Saccharomyces cerevisiae S288C: one gene and its partners. Each later gene encodes a partner of the first gene's protein in a complex. Each region holds a gene or a part of one and is shown in the gene's direction. Other genes may lie near its edges. The genes, in order: MRPL32, MRPL33, MRPL20 and MRPL23.

Region 1 (2,787 bases):
TGGTGTGGGACACGTTTGGGAAGGTTAAAAGAAGAGGTATATCCGGATTACATTTATTTTTGGCGTATTTTAATAATTTACTAAAAGCGCGAATAGCTTCCCATTAGCAACGCTCAGGGACTCTTTCTAATGTTTATAGTAATACTTTAATAAGATGAGTACCAATTGCTTCTCTATGAGGCACAATCCCTAACCAAACTTTTATTTAGAATTACCGGTAAACTCCGTTTTCTTCATAGATTAAATATTTGGCTAAGACAACAAAATGTTCTTTCATTTTACCAAACGAGAAGGTGATAGCTGTACGCCAGAAAAGAAGGTAAAAACTCTCGCCAATCCAGCAATACCTGTACCTCTAGTTTTCGATCGCATTATGTCATTATGTAAAACCAAGGAGAGAAGCAAGTTACGGTGTTTTCATATAGAATAATTTGAGAATTCTTAATAACATAAGATATATAATCACCACCATTCTTATGAGATTCAACGTTGAATGGCGTTGCTAGACATATGAGCTGAGGAACGACTATTCGCATTTTCTTTCAAGGCAATTAATTGTCTTGCTCTGAACCCTTCATAATGAATGTAGGAAGTTGTTTCGATTAAGTCTTGGAGATGAGTTCGAATCAAAAATTCCCTTAAATATACAAAATCACACTGGTTGATATCCTCAACATTAATAGCGCTCCAACGAGTTTTTCTTCCCCTGAAGGTTTCACCGTTTATTTCAATCTCATTCTCAGAACCAACCACTGCAAACGGAATGATAGATCTAACACTTCTGTTTAGTTCTAATTCCTCGTCAGTTAGTTCTTCCGAATCATAAGGATAAATCTTGAAATTGTATTTTTCGAATTCATTTTGAATAAGCTCCCTAAACTCCGTTCTTTCATCTAAAGTCAATGTATCCGACTTGCCAATAACTGGTATAACATTTGCTATTTCTGTCAATCTTTTCAAGGCTTCAACGTCAAGGCGGCTCAACTCCTTTCCATTTGGTTGCAGGAAATAAAGAATTGCATGAACTCTTGTATCAGTAATAAACCTTTCACGTTGGGCTGTCAATTCTTTACGTAAGTATTGAGAATGTTGTTCCTTAATGTACTTCACAATAGGCTCCCAAGCTTTAGAATTGTCAATAAAGTCACCAAATCCAGGTGTATCTATAACATTAATATTCAAGCGAACGCGGTCCTCCACAAGAGTATGAGTAGAAATTTTCATTTCAGTTGTTTTTGTAACAGGCAGGGCAGAAATATCATCACCAGTAGCAGAATCAATCAAATGTGAGGCAAATAACGTATTTATTAGAGTACTTTTACCCAATCCGGATTGGCCAACAACCATTATATTAAATTGAAAACCTTTCTTCAACAGACGATGTTCGATCTGATTCGTGATGGTATCAAAACCAACATAAGAAGCAGGCTGTACTGAGCTGAGAGGATCCATTAATATATTTATAGAGTGCTTGTAGTAACCGTGGGGCTTGGCCTTGTATTTTCTTGTCTTTGCCTGAAAAAAGTTAAGTATTACTGATACATGTTTACATATATTCTATTCAGCGATTCTGATCTATTTGTGGTCTCTCGAGGAAATCTCATCGTATCATACGATTATTTCCGCAAGCATTCAGAAAGCAAATCTTAATATAAGGCACAATGTTCCCAAATAATACCTTAACTTGGAGACAAAAACACCAGGGAATATCAGCAAACAAACTATGAATTCTTTGATTTTTGGTAAACAATTAGCATTTCACAAAATTGTGCCTACCACTGCAATTGGGTGGTTGGTACCGCTAGGAAATCCTTCACTGCAGATTCCAGGCCAAAAACAACTGGGATCTATCCACCGTTGGTTGAGAGAAAAGCTACAACAAGATCATAAGGACACTGAAGATAAAGATTTTTTCTCTAATAATGGTATTCTACTAGCAGTTCCTAAAAAAAAAGTATCACACCAAAAAAAAAGGCAAAAACTTTACGGTCCAGGTAAGAAGCAATTGAAGATGATTCACCATTTGAATAAGTGCCCATCATGCGGCCATTATAAGAGAGCCAATACACTGTGTATGTATTGTGTTGGACAAATAAGTCATATATGGAAAACGCATACCGCTAAAGAAGAAATTAAGCCGAGACAAGAGGAGGAACTTTCCGAACTAGACCAAAGAGTCCTATATCCTGGTAGAAGAGATACCAAATATACCAAGGATTTGAAAGATAAAGATAACTATTTGGAACGTCGCGTTCGGACTTTAAAAAAGGACTAGGCTCATCTTTCATCTAGTGGTTTCCTTTTTAAATAAACTTAAGCCTGTATATAGAAACTTAATTTCAAACTGTATATTTATTGTTTAAGACAGCATCAATGGTAGAATACAAGGAGCGGAAACAGAAAGAAAAGTCGAAATAGAATTTTTCGCTTTTGGCTTAACAAAATGAGGTCTTTGAAATCAAGAGTTTTGCTTGACAAAAAACAACTATATTTCAAAATATTAGGAAATGATATTATTAGTACAAGGACTTACAGAAATATACTTTTAATATAAAAAGGAAAAAATAAAATAAAAAGAGTTAATTCTTTATTAATTTTCCAACGTCCTACATTGATATATCTGCTGAGATAGAATTAATGTTAGTAAGAACTAAATATTAGACGCGAACTGTTGTTTCTTACATGACAGTACAGCAGGATAATAATCCTTTGTCCTCCTTCTTTTCTGCAGTTGTAGCTGCTGCAGGTTTAGTTTGTCTCTTAGCCGCATCAGAAGTAGTGGTCTTC
Region 2 (2,706 bases), on another chromosome or scaffold:
CGTTACATACAATATTTGGTAGGGTAGGGTATTTGATGTAATATTTATTATTAAGAACTTTTGTCGTGCTAAACGTTGTACTGTACAACTATTAGCAAGATATTTATGCACGACAGTAATCTATAGTTGTAACTCTAAATCACACACCATAGACAAATGATCACTTGCATATTCTCCAACATGTGGTTGTCCATGCTTTGTCATTTCATTACCGGGCGGCATTCTCAAAAAACCTCTGCATTTAACTTTATTTTCTTTTTCAAAATCGCCAAGGGTTTCCACTTCCTGACAATTACTTTGTGGGTCCCATTTCTTTACATAAAATAGATAGTCTAATAAACCACGCCAAGTGTTTGCCCAATTTGAAATTTCAGGCTCACCTCTATCATTATCAAGACCTGCATTTTCTGGATGAACATTCTTATACCCAACAGAGTATAGTGAAATAGCCCTCATATCCAATGAGTTATGGAGTTGTGCCATTTTATCTACGAGTTCAGACTGTTCTTCATTAGCATGAAATTTTTCAGGAACGGGGCTCTCAGGTTGATCTTTACCATATTTTTCAATATTCCCGCCTTCTTCGTCATCTGCACCTTCTTCGCCATCACGGACCTTGGAAAACTTATATGAAGTGCTGCACCCAATGACGGTCTTTGCCCTGTTTCTATAGTGCACTGGTTTGGATGTCATAGATAAATATGGTGTGTCGAACGGCTGGGAATTAAAATCACCACAGAAAAAAGGAAACCAATGAGATAAATCCCCATCATTTTCGTTCTGTAAAACATTCACACGATGCATGAATTCCTTCATCTTTTTTAAAACAATATAGCATTGTCTTGTTCGTTCATAAGTACCAAATGGATGCCAAAATAGATGCGTAGTGCCGATCAAGATACCGCATTTTTTAGACGATTTTTTACCCAAATTCGACAGTACTTTCTCAGAAAACTTCAAGGCTAAGACTAATCCCACGTTGTTTGTCGTTGTTCTAGTGGAAATGCTTTCTGAACTTTCTTTATCATAGTCGATTAGCATTTTGTCAACCTGGTGAAATAATTCTCTCCTCCACATTATCGCGACACCATGGTTTTTTGTAGCATTTCTATAATATTGTCCATCGTATCCCAATTTACTGAATTCATCTTTCCAAAAGCTTTGAAACTGAATATGATCAATCTCTTGCAAACAAATGACATCGGAATTATAATATTTAAACTCGTTTAAGAGAACTTTAGAACGCCTGTACCATTTTAAAGCGTCACCACTATCCGGGAACAGCTTTCTGCGGATTAGAGCTTGCGCCAAGCAATTATAAGTCATTAGCTTGAATCTAAATCCAGTTACTGGCTCTGCCTCATGTAGAGATAGGAAAGGTCTTCTGATAAAATGCAGCTCTGGCGGGCAGTCCGGATCAACACCTTGAGCCAACATTGCATCTCTTTTAGCCTTTCTCATAACTTCCCTTTCGGCACGAACCTTAGCGATATGTTCTGGGGTCACTATGGGCTTCGATTTTTTACCTTTCTTGCCCTTCTTTTTATGTTGAAGTAACGAATCATCATTGGTTTGATGTTTTGCATCTTTTACAGATTTATTAATTTCTACTTCTTGGTCGGGCGCAACATCTGGGGCAACCACTTTGACTTCTTTGTCTTGTGTCATATTTACTTAATACTCTTAACTACAATTAAGAAGCTATAAGGAGACTACAATCTCATCTTCTTGCAACACTACTTTTCCTTTCCTCTTGCTTTAGTGCAACCATTTTTTGAAAAATGAATGGTCTTTCTGCACGAAATATCTCTCGAAGAGCTTTTCTAGATATTAAGGATAAAGTATATCATCCCAAAAGTTAGGTGATGGAATCAATATTGATGGACCAGCTAAAACACGTTGAAAGCAGATATCAGGAATGGTGTTTTACAAAGTCACGTTGAGTAGGTCGCTTATCGGTGTGCCACACACAACGAAGAGCATTGTCAAAAGTTTGGGTTTAGGTAAAAGAGGGTCCATAGTCTACAAAAAAGTAAACCCGGCCATAGCTGGCTCCCTAGCTAAAGTAAAAGAGTTAGTCAAAGTAGAAGTAACAGAACATGAATTAACACCATCGCAGCAACGAGAGTTGAGAAAGTCAAACCCTGGGTTTATAGTGGAGAAGAGAACCATCGACTGAAACAGCGAAAATAAGGCAACTGGATTTCCTTTCTTCTTGATATTCCTGACTTATATATGTATATAGTATTATTTTTTCCTGCATAGGCACATATGTTAATAGTAATTTATGCAATTTTTGATACAAAGAAATCAATACACTATCTCGATTTCATATTTTATGTATGTATATATTTACAAGAAGAAAATTATGCATGGTCTATTGAATTTTATATTTGGAAAAAGAGTCCCTTTTTATAGCTTTTCCAACTCTAACATTCCTTCTAAACAGTCAATTTTTGAAATTTTACAATTCTTCACGATATCTCCAATCATCGGATAATGCATAGAACTTGGATGCAATTTTAATGTTCCTCTAGCGAACGATAAGTCTGGAAAAACACATCCAGTAAATCCGTTCTGCGGTACTGATGTTACCATTACATCGAAAGTCCTTTCTGGCTCTAGTTTGGTTAGCTTTTTTAAATAATTCAGTGTCCAGTACGTCGACGAATTACGGCTAGCCCTTTTTAAAATATCCGCTCGAGA
Region 3 (3,060 bases), on another chromosome or scaffold:
CAGAGTGTCGAACGTTGTTTCAATATCTTCTTGACCTGTCATGAAAATGAGAATATCACCGCTTGAACAATCGTTTGCTAAATGAATTTTCACAGCCTGAGAAACTGCAGCTTCTACGTAGTCTTGAACAGGGTTGGAAGTATATATGGTCTGTACGGGGAAAGTTCTTCCAGGAATTGTGAACTGAGGAGCATTACCAAAAAATGCGGAGAACTTCTTCGCATTCATTGTTGCTGAAGTGATTATGAGTTTTAGATCTCTTCTACGTGCTAATAAAATCTTGAAAAAACCTAGTAAAATGTCTGTATTTAATGACCTTTCATGAGCTTCATCAATAATAACACACGAATATTTATCGAGTGTATCATCCAATAAGGTCTCTCTGAGTAGAATACCATCCGTTACAAACTTAAGTTTTGTACACTCAGAATCCGTCACATCTTCAAACCTTATAGAATAGCCTACTTCCTTACCCAATGGAACTTGCATTTCCATTGCAACCCTTTTTGCAACGGATATGGCTGCTACTCTTCTCGGCTGTGTGACAACAATAGATTTCCCCCTATCGTTGGCATATCCTTCTTCATATAAATACTGTGCAAGTTGCGTGGTTTTACCTGAGCCCGTTTCACCAATTATCACCACTACTTGATTTTCTCTTATCAATGATAACAATTGAGATCTGCAGCGGAAAACAGGCAGTTGCTCTTTAGTATGTTTAATGTCATCTTTTGATGGCGTGAAAAGAGCTGTATCGTCGCAAATCTTTTGGTTGCTCTTATCTTTTGCTTTATTGTTATTCTCCAAGCCTAGTACTTCCCCCATGGCAGTGTTCAAAACAGTGGTGTTGTCTCGAGATTGTTGAATATGTTCCATGTTTATCCTTCTCAAGGCAACCAGCTTACTACCTCGTTTGGCGTTCGCAGAAAATTCACTGTCAGGATTCCTAAATGGATTCACCATTGATAAAGCGGATACTTGGCTGGACGTCTCAGAGATGGACCCGATAATTATGGAAGTGGGCACTTTGTTTTCAAGAGCAAACTTTGATAAAAAAGGAGGGATCCATTCCATTCTTTGCTTGAGTGGTATGGGGTATAATTGAACGGTATTTCGTAAGGCATCATCGTTGTCGATATTCCTAATGACAGGTAGTAGTTTCGCTTCCTCAGGCAATTCAGACAGAGGTTCAGGCACCAAATTTCCATAATCATCATCATTATCATACCATTCTCTGTCCTCCTCAACTACTTCGCTTCGAGTCGGTTCATAGTCCTTCGTTTCAGCATGACCATTCTGTGTTTGCTGTTCACTATTTGGAGAAGGATCCTTCACGGTGGGCGAATACTGCCTCAACTGTTTGGCCTTTAGTTTATCTATTCTCTTGAACAACGTCCGTGTAGGTGCTGGTTTTTTTTGAACTGGAGAATCTAGCTCATCTTCATTATCGTCAAGGTCTAACTGGATCTTAAATTTCTTTCTCTTATTTATAGAAGGGGCGATTTTCTTTGGGCCTGTCGAGTCCTCTTCAGATTTATTCTTGAGGAGCTCCAGAAGTTCATTAAAAATGATTGGATTGTTACTGCTGAGTTTCGTCAAAGCTTTACAGCTGGCAATAAACTGTTCTAGATTAGTATTCGGCTTTTGCGCTAGTTTCTGCAGTGTCAAAAGCAACCCAGGCGTTAGTTCTTTTGACGTAAGTTCCTTAAATATGTCTTTTATCCTTTCCTCACGCCCCGAATGACCCATACCAGAGGTATTTGTATTGTCTTTGGGCCTTCTTGTGTTTTATCATCTGCAGTCATCTCATGAATTTTTCAGCTTTCACCGCTTTTATTATTTGAGAAAATAGAAAAGAGGGCAAAAAGAGATACTTTCAACAAGTTAAAATGGAAAATTAAAGACAAAGTAAAATAGCACAAGAATGATTGGCAGAGGTGTGTGCTGCAGATCGTTCCACACTGCTGGATCTGCCTGGAAGCAATTTGGATTTCCCAAAACACAAGTGACAACGATTTACAACAAGACTAAGAGCGCATCTAACTATAAAGGGTATTTAAAGCACAGAGATGCTCCAGGAATGTACTATCAACCATCAGAATCCATCGCAACCGGATCTGTTAACAGTGAGACCATTCCACGTAGCTTTATGGCAGCCAGTGACCCTCGTAGAGGGCTTGACATGCCTGTTCAAAGCACTAAAGCGAAGCAGTGTCCAAATGTTCTCGTAGGTAAGAGCACAGTGAACGGCAAAACCTATCATCTGGGACCTCAAGAAATTGATGAGATCCGGAAGTTACGTCTTGACAATCCTCAAAAGTATACACGCAAATTTTTGGCTGCAAAATATGGCATTTCGCCATTATTTGTATCCATGGTCTCGAAACCTAGTGAACAACATGTACAAATTATGGAAAGTAGATTGCAAGAAATCCAATCACGCTGGAAGGAGAAGAGGCGTATAGCCAGAGAGGACCGTAAGCGTAGAAAACTCCTGTGGTACCAGGCGTGAATGCTATATAAATATAATAACAATCGTGTAAATACTACTCTATAAGTACTTCGTATTCATATATTGATCACAATGCACGGAGACGCCCATTAATGTGACTTGAATATACCACATGAAAGCTAACCAATAAGCAATTTAAAAAGAGTTAAGTACAGCTTGGAGACACCCAAAGGCTTCTGCTTCGACAACTATTGACTATCGAGATGGCTTACAGTGACTACAGCGATGGAGCAGACGACATGCCGGACTTTCACGACGAAGGTGAATTTGATGATTATTTGAATGACGATGAATATGATCTAATGAACGAGGTATTTCCTACTCTAAAGGCGCAGTTACAGGATTACCAAGGCTGGGATAATCTTTCACTTAAGCTAGCTTTGTTTGACAACAATTTCGATTTGGAAAGCACGCTGGCGGAATTGAAGAAAACTTTGAAGAAGAAGAAGACACCAAAGAAGCCAATTGCTGCTGCTAATGGGAGTGCGAATGTTACTCAAAAACTGGCAAACATCTCAATTTCGCAACAAAGGCCAAATGATCGGCTT
Region 4 (2,848 bases), on another chromosome or scaffold:
TGAGTATGTTTTCCACCATATGTGAACGCCCATTTGTTCGGTACGAAAGTGGAAGTAATCTCCCAAAAATTGGATAATTCCTGCTTGATGTGAAATTCCCATGATGAACGCCATGATTATGTTAAAAAGAAGCCAAGTTCCCTTGAAAATTTTCTTGTTTACTAACGTGGAACTCAGAGGTGTCCAGTTTAAGTTTGTCACGAGTAGTGGCACTAGCGGTACAAGGAATCTTAATTCTTGATGTTGAAAGAATGAAAGAAAAAGCAGGCCAGATATGATTGCGTAAGTAGATAATTTATCGAGTTTGTAACCGGAAAAAATCGCTAGCAGCAATACTGGGCCAACTATTTGAGGTAAATTGACCAGCAGATGGGTGTATCTTGGATGTAATCCATGTACTTGCAAATTTTGGACATTGAGGTTGTATTTCAGGTTATTCAAGGGCGTAATGACAAATCCCTTTCCGTTGTTATAAATATTTGTATCAATAAGAACAAATAGACACGAGGAAAATGAAAATGAAAGTAAAAGTAAAGAAAAGGATTTCCAATGGACCCGGTAAAACTTCCAGAATAATATCAAACATGGTAAGAAAATAAATGCAGGAAAAGTAACTCTATTAAAAACACCAAAACTAAATATAAGTCCCAATATAACCGAATTTTTGAAATTACTTCTTTGAATATTTTTTTCGTTTACCATATCTTCCATTACAGTTAAAGTTGAGATTAAAGCCAGCGTTTCTATGGAATTGGAAAACGTGTGTGTTTGGTACGTCCAGGTTACGTAAGAAGTTAAAAGTAGACTTTTTTTGATGAATTGTACGGCCTTTCTCTCATCCCTTATTAATTTAGGTATTAAAAAATGATAGCACAATAGGTACATCACATAGTTTTGTAGTCTCATCGAATACAGAATTAACGCTGGGTTGTCCTGAATTTCGGGAAAAGATTCTAAAATAGTGAACAAAGGCCCGTAAACCAATAATAGGGGGCCGTAACTCCTAGCAGCAAATTTTGATTTAAATTCCCATGGGATGGTACCTTTGACCTTCATGAACTGCATAGCCAAAATCTCGATGCATTGGAAATGTTCATCTGGATGAATATACGACGGGCCTAGGCATAGCATTAGGCCGATGGCATATACTAAATAAAGCCACCATTGATACCTCATCATACACTTCCAAGTACCTGATGTGTGCTTGCGAGTAAGAATACTATGATATCTTATCGGACATATAGATTTTCAGGCCTTTTGTATTGTGTTTTCATCTTTATATTACTTCAGATTGTGCGCATCTCGCGAAATCCTCAGAGCTTCAGATTTGAACTTGTTGCCGACATAGTAAGTCCTCTCAGCACCTTACTGTAGAAGCACCTTTATAAGTTATATTAAATCAATACATCTTCTATGAGATACATAGATCGATAAGTTGACTTTTTTTCACTATATTAGTGACTGGTTTTACTTCTTACAAACATTACAGTCCGCACATAAAAAGCTATTACGATGTCTATATAATGTTTTGCTCTATATTGCACGTACCAAACACGCTACTAGTAAGACATGAGTTCCATCTAGCGAAGAATCACCGCACGCTATGGTTACTTAGACGGTTATGGTTTAGTTAATTATCGTTATAATGTTGATTGTTACCCGCATGGAGCCTTCCTTGTAGTTTAGAGATCTTTAAAACGTTCTAAATAAGTAAAAGAGAAAGACCTTATGAATACACTGATATCATATAGAAAAAGAAAGCAATACCAGCATCAACAATAGCCTATTCATGTCGCAGAAGATTGGACACAGTGGCTTGGCTTTTGCGCGCCTTTGGCACCATGTCGACGTTGCCCGTGATAAGAGGACATTGGGTAGATTGGCTTCAGCAATTGCAATTACCTTAATTGGTAGACATAAGCCGGTCTATCATCCGTCACAAGACTGTGGAGACTACGTAGTAGTGACTAATTGCCAAAAAATCCGTGTAACAGGTAAGAAATTTGAGCAGAAGACTTACTGGTCTCATTCAGGTAGACCTGGTCAGCTAAAGTTACAGACAATGAACAAGGTTGTTGCCGATAAAGGATTTGGAGAAATTTTGAAAAAAGCAGTTAGCGGTATGTTGCCTAAAAATAAATTGAGAAAGCAACGGTTAGACCGCTTAAAAGTTTTCGATGGAAGTGAAAACCCTTATAAACAAAATATTACTGCCTTTGCCCATGAGCAATCATCAATACCAGAGCCTCTTAAAGAATCAATTTTTAACCAATTGAAATAGCTTATTGAAATTATTTGTCATTTTTTTATATATCCTTTTTGCAGTCTTCAATCCATGTATATATTTATCTGTTATGTAGTTTTAATCAAAACGCGTATTAAAATCTTCTTTCTTTTATGAATACTAAATATATTTAACAGTGTGTAACAGCAACATTGTTCCAAAATGAACACCGTATATTTTTCTTATAACTTTTTACATAAGTCATTATTTATGACTTGGATATTTAAGGTTTTCCGCTAAAGTTCATTAATATGTCTTGATAAAATTAAATTTTAATTTGGTAAAATGCGAAACAAGGACTATAAATAAACACTGTGAGTCCCATTTTATTCATCATTATTTTTGTGTTTTTTGAATGCTTGAAAGTTCTCTCTGCTTATTAAAAGAAATGCTTCATTCTTATTTTATTACTATTGCCTACTTGTTTACCCTTTTTTTGGCAAGATCAGCACAAATGAAATGTTTTTTATTATTTTACTTTCTTAGAGTTACAACATTATTTCTTAAAAATCTCTCGAACGATCGGTATATAAACGTGGTGTAATGTTCATAGCCATAAGTTCT

Evidence for each region.
Region 2: MRPL32 (region 1) and MRPL33 share a complex: the UniProt entries of both Saccharomyces cerevisiae proteins name them as parts of the mitochondrial large ribosomal subunit.
Region 3: MRPL32 (region 1) and MRPL20 share a complex: the UniProt entries of both Saccharomyces cerevisiae proteins name them as parts of the mitochondrial large ribosomal subunit.
Region 4: MRPL32 (region 1) and MRPL23 share a complex: the UniProt entries of both Saccharomyces cerevisiae proteins name them as parts of the mitochondrial large ribosomal subunit.

What each region holds. Positions count from the first base shown.
Region 1 is NC_001135.5:116,897-119,683, forward strand, and holds MRPL32 (mitochondrial 54S ribosomal protein bL32m MRPL32), read left to right. Parts: upstream 1-1,723; coding exon 1,724-2,275; downstream 2,276-2,787. Other genes in the region: septin CDC10, read right to left, coding at 484-1,452; YCP4 (flavodoxin-like fold family protein), read right to left, coding at 2,679-2,787. UniProt on the Saccharomyces cerevisiae protein: Component of the mitochondrial ribosome (mitoribosome), a dedicated translation machinery responsible for the synthesis of mitochondrial genome-encoded proteins, including at least some of the essential transmembrane subunits of the mitochondrial respiratory chain.
Region 2 is NC_001145.3:840,024-842,729, forward strand, and holds MRPL33 (mitochondrial 54S ribosomal protein uL30m MRPL33), read left to right. Parts: upstream 1-1,918; coding exon 1,919-2,179; downstream 2,180-2,706. Other genes in the region: NGL2 (RNA exonuclease), read right to left, coding at 121-1,668; DSS1 (exoribonuclease II), read right to left, coding at 2,413-2,706. UniProt on the Saccharomyces cerevisiae protein: Component of the mitochondrial ribosome (mitoribosome), a dedicated translation machinery responsible for the synthesis of mitochondrial genome-encoded proteins, including at least some of the essential transmembrane subunits of the mitochondrial respiratory chain.
Region 3 is NC_001143.9:598,546-601,605, reverse strand, and holds MRPL20 (mitochondrial 54S ribosomal protein mL58 MRPL20), read left to right. Parts: upstream 1-1,924; coding exon 1,925-2,512; downstream 2,513-3,060. Other genes in the region: DEAH-box RNA helicase PRP16, read right to left, coding at 1-1,749; ribosome dissociation factor GTPase HBS1, read left to right, coding at 2,716-3,060. UniProt on the Saccharomyces cerevisiae protein: Component of the mitochondrial ribosome (mitoribosome), a dedicated translation machinery responsible for the synthesis of mitochondrial genome-encoded proteins, including at least some of the essential transmembrane subunits of the mitochondrial respiratory chain.
Region 4 is NC_001147.6:610,210-613,057, forward strand, and holds MRPL23 (mitochondrial 54S ribosomal protein uL13m MRPL23), read left to right. Parts: upstream 1-1,789; coding exon 1,790-2,281; downstream 2,282-2,848. Other genes in the region: SMP3 (glycosylphosphatidylinositol-alpha 1,2 mannosyltransferase), read right to left, coding at 1-1,179; DNA-directed RNA polymerase II core subunit RPB2, read right to left, coding at 2,788-2,848. UniProt on the Saccharomyces cerevisiae protein: Component of the mitochondrial ribosome (mitoribosome), a dedicated translation machinery responsible for the synthesis of mitochondrial genome-encoded proteins, including at least some of the essential transmembrane subunits of the mitochondrial respiratory chain.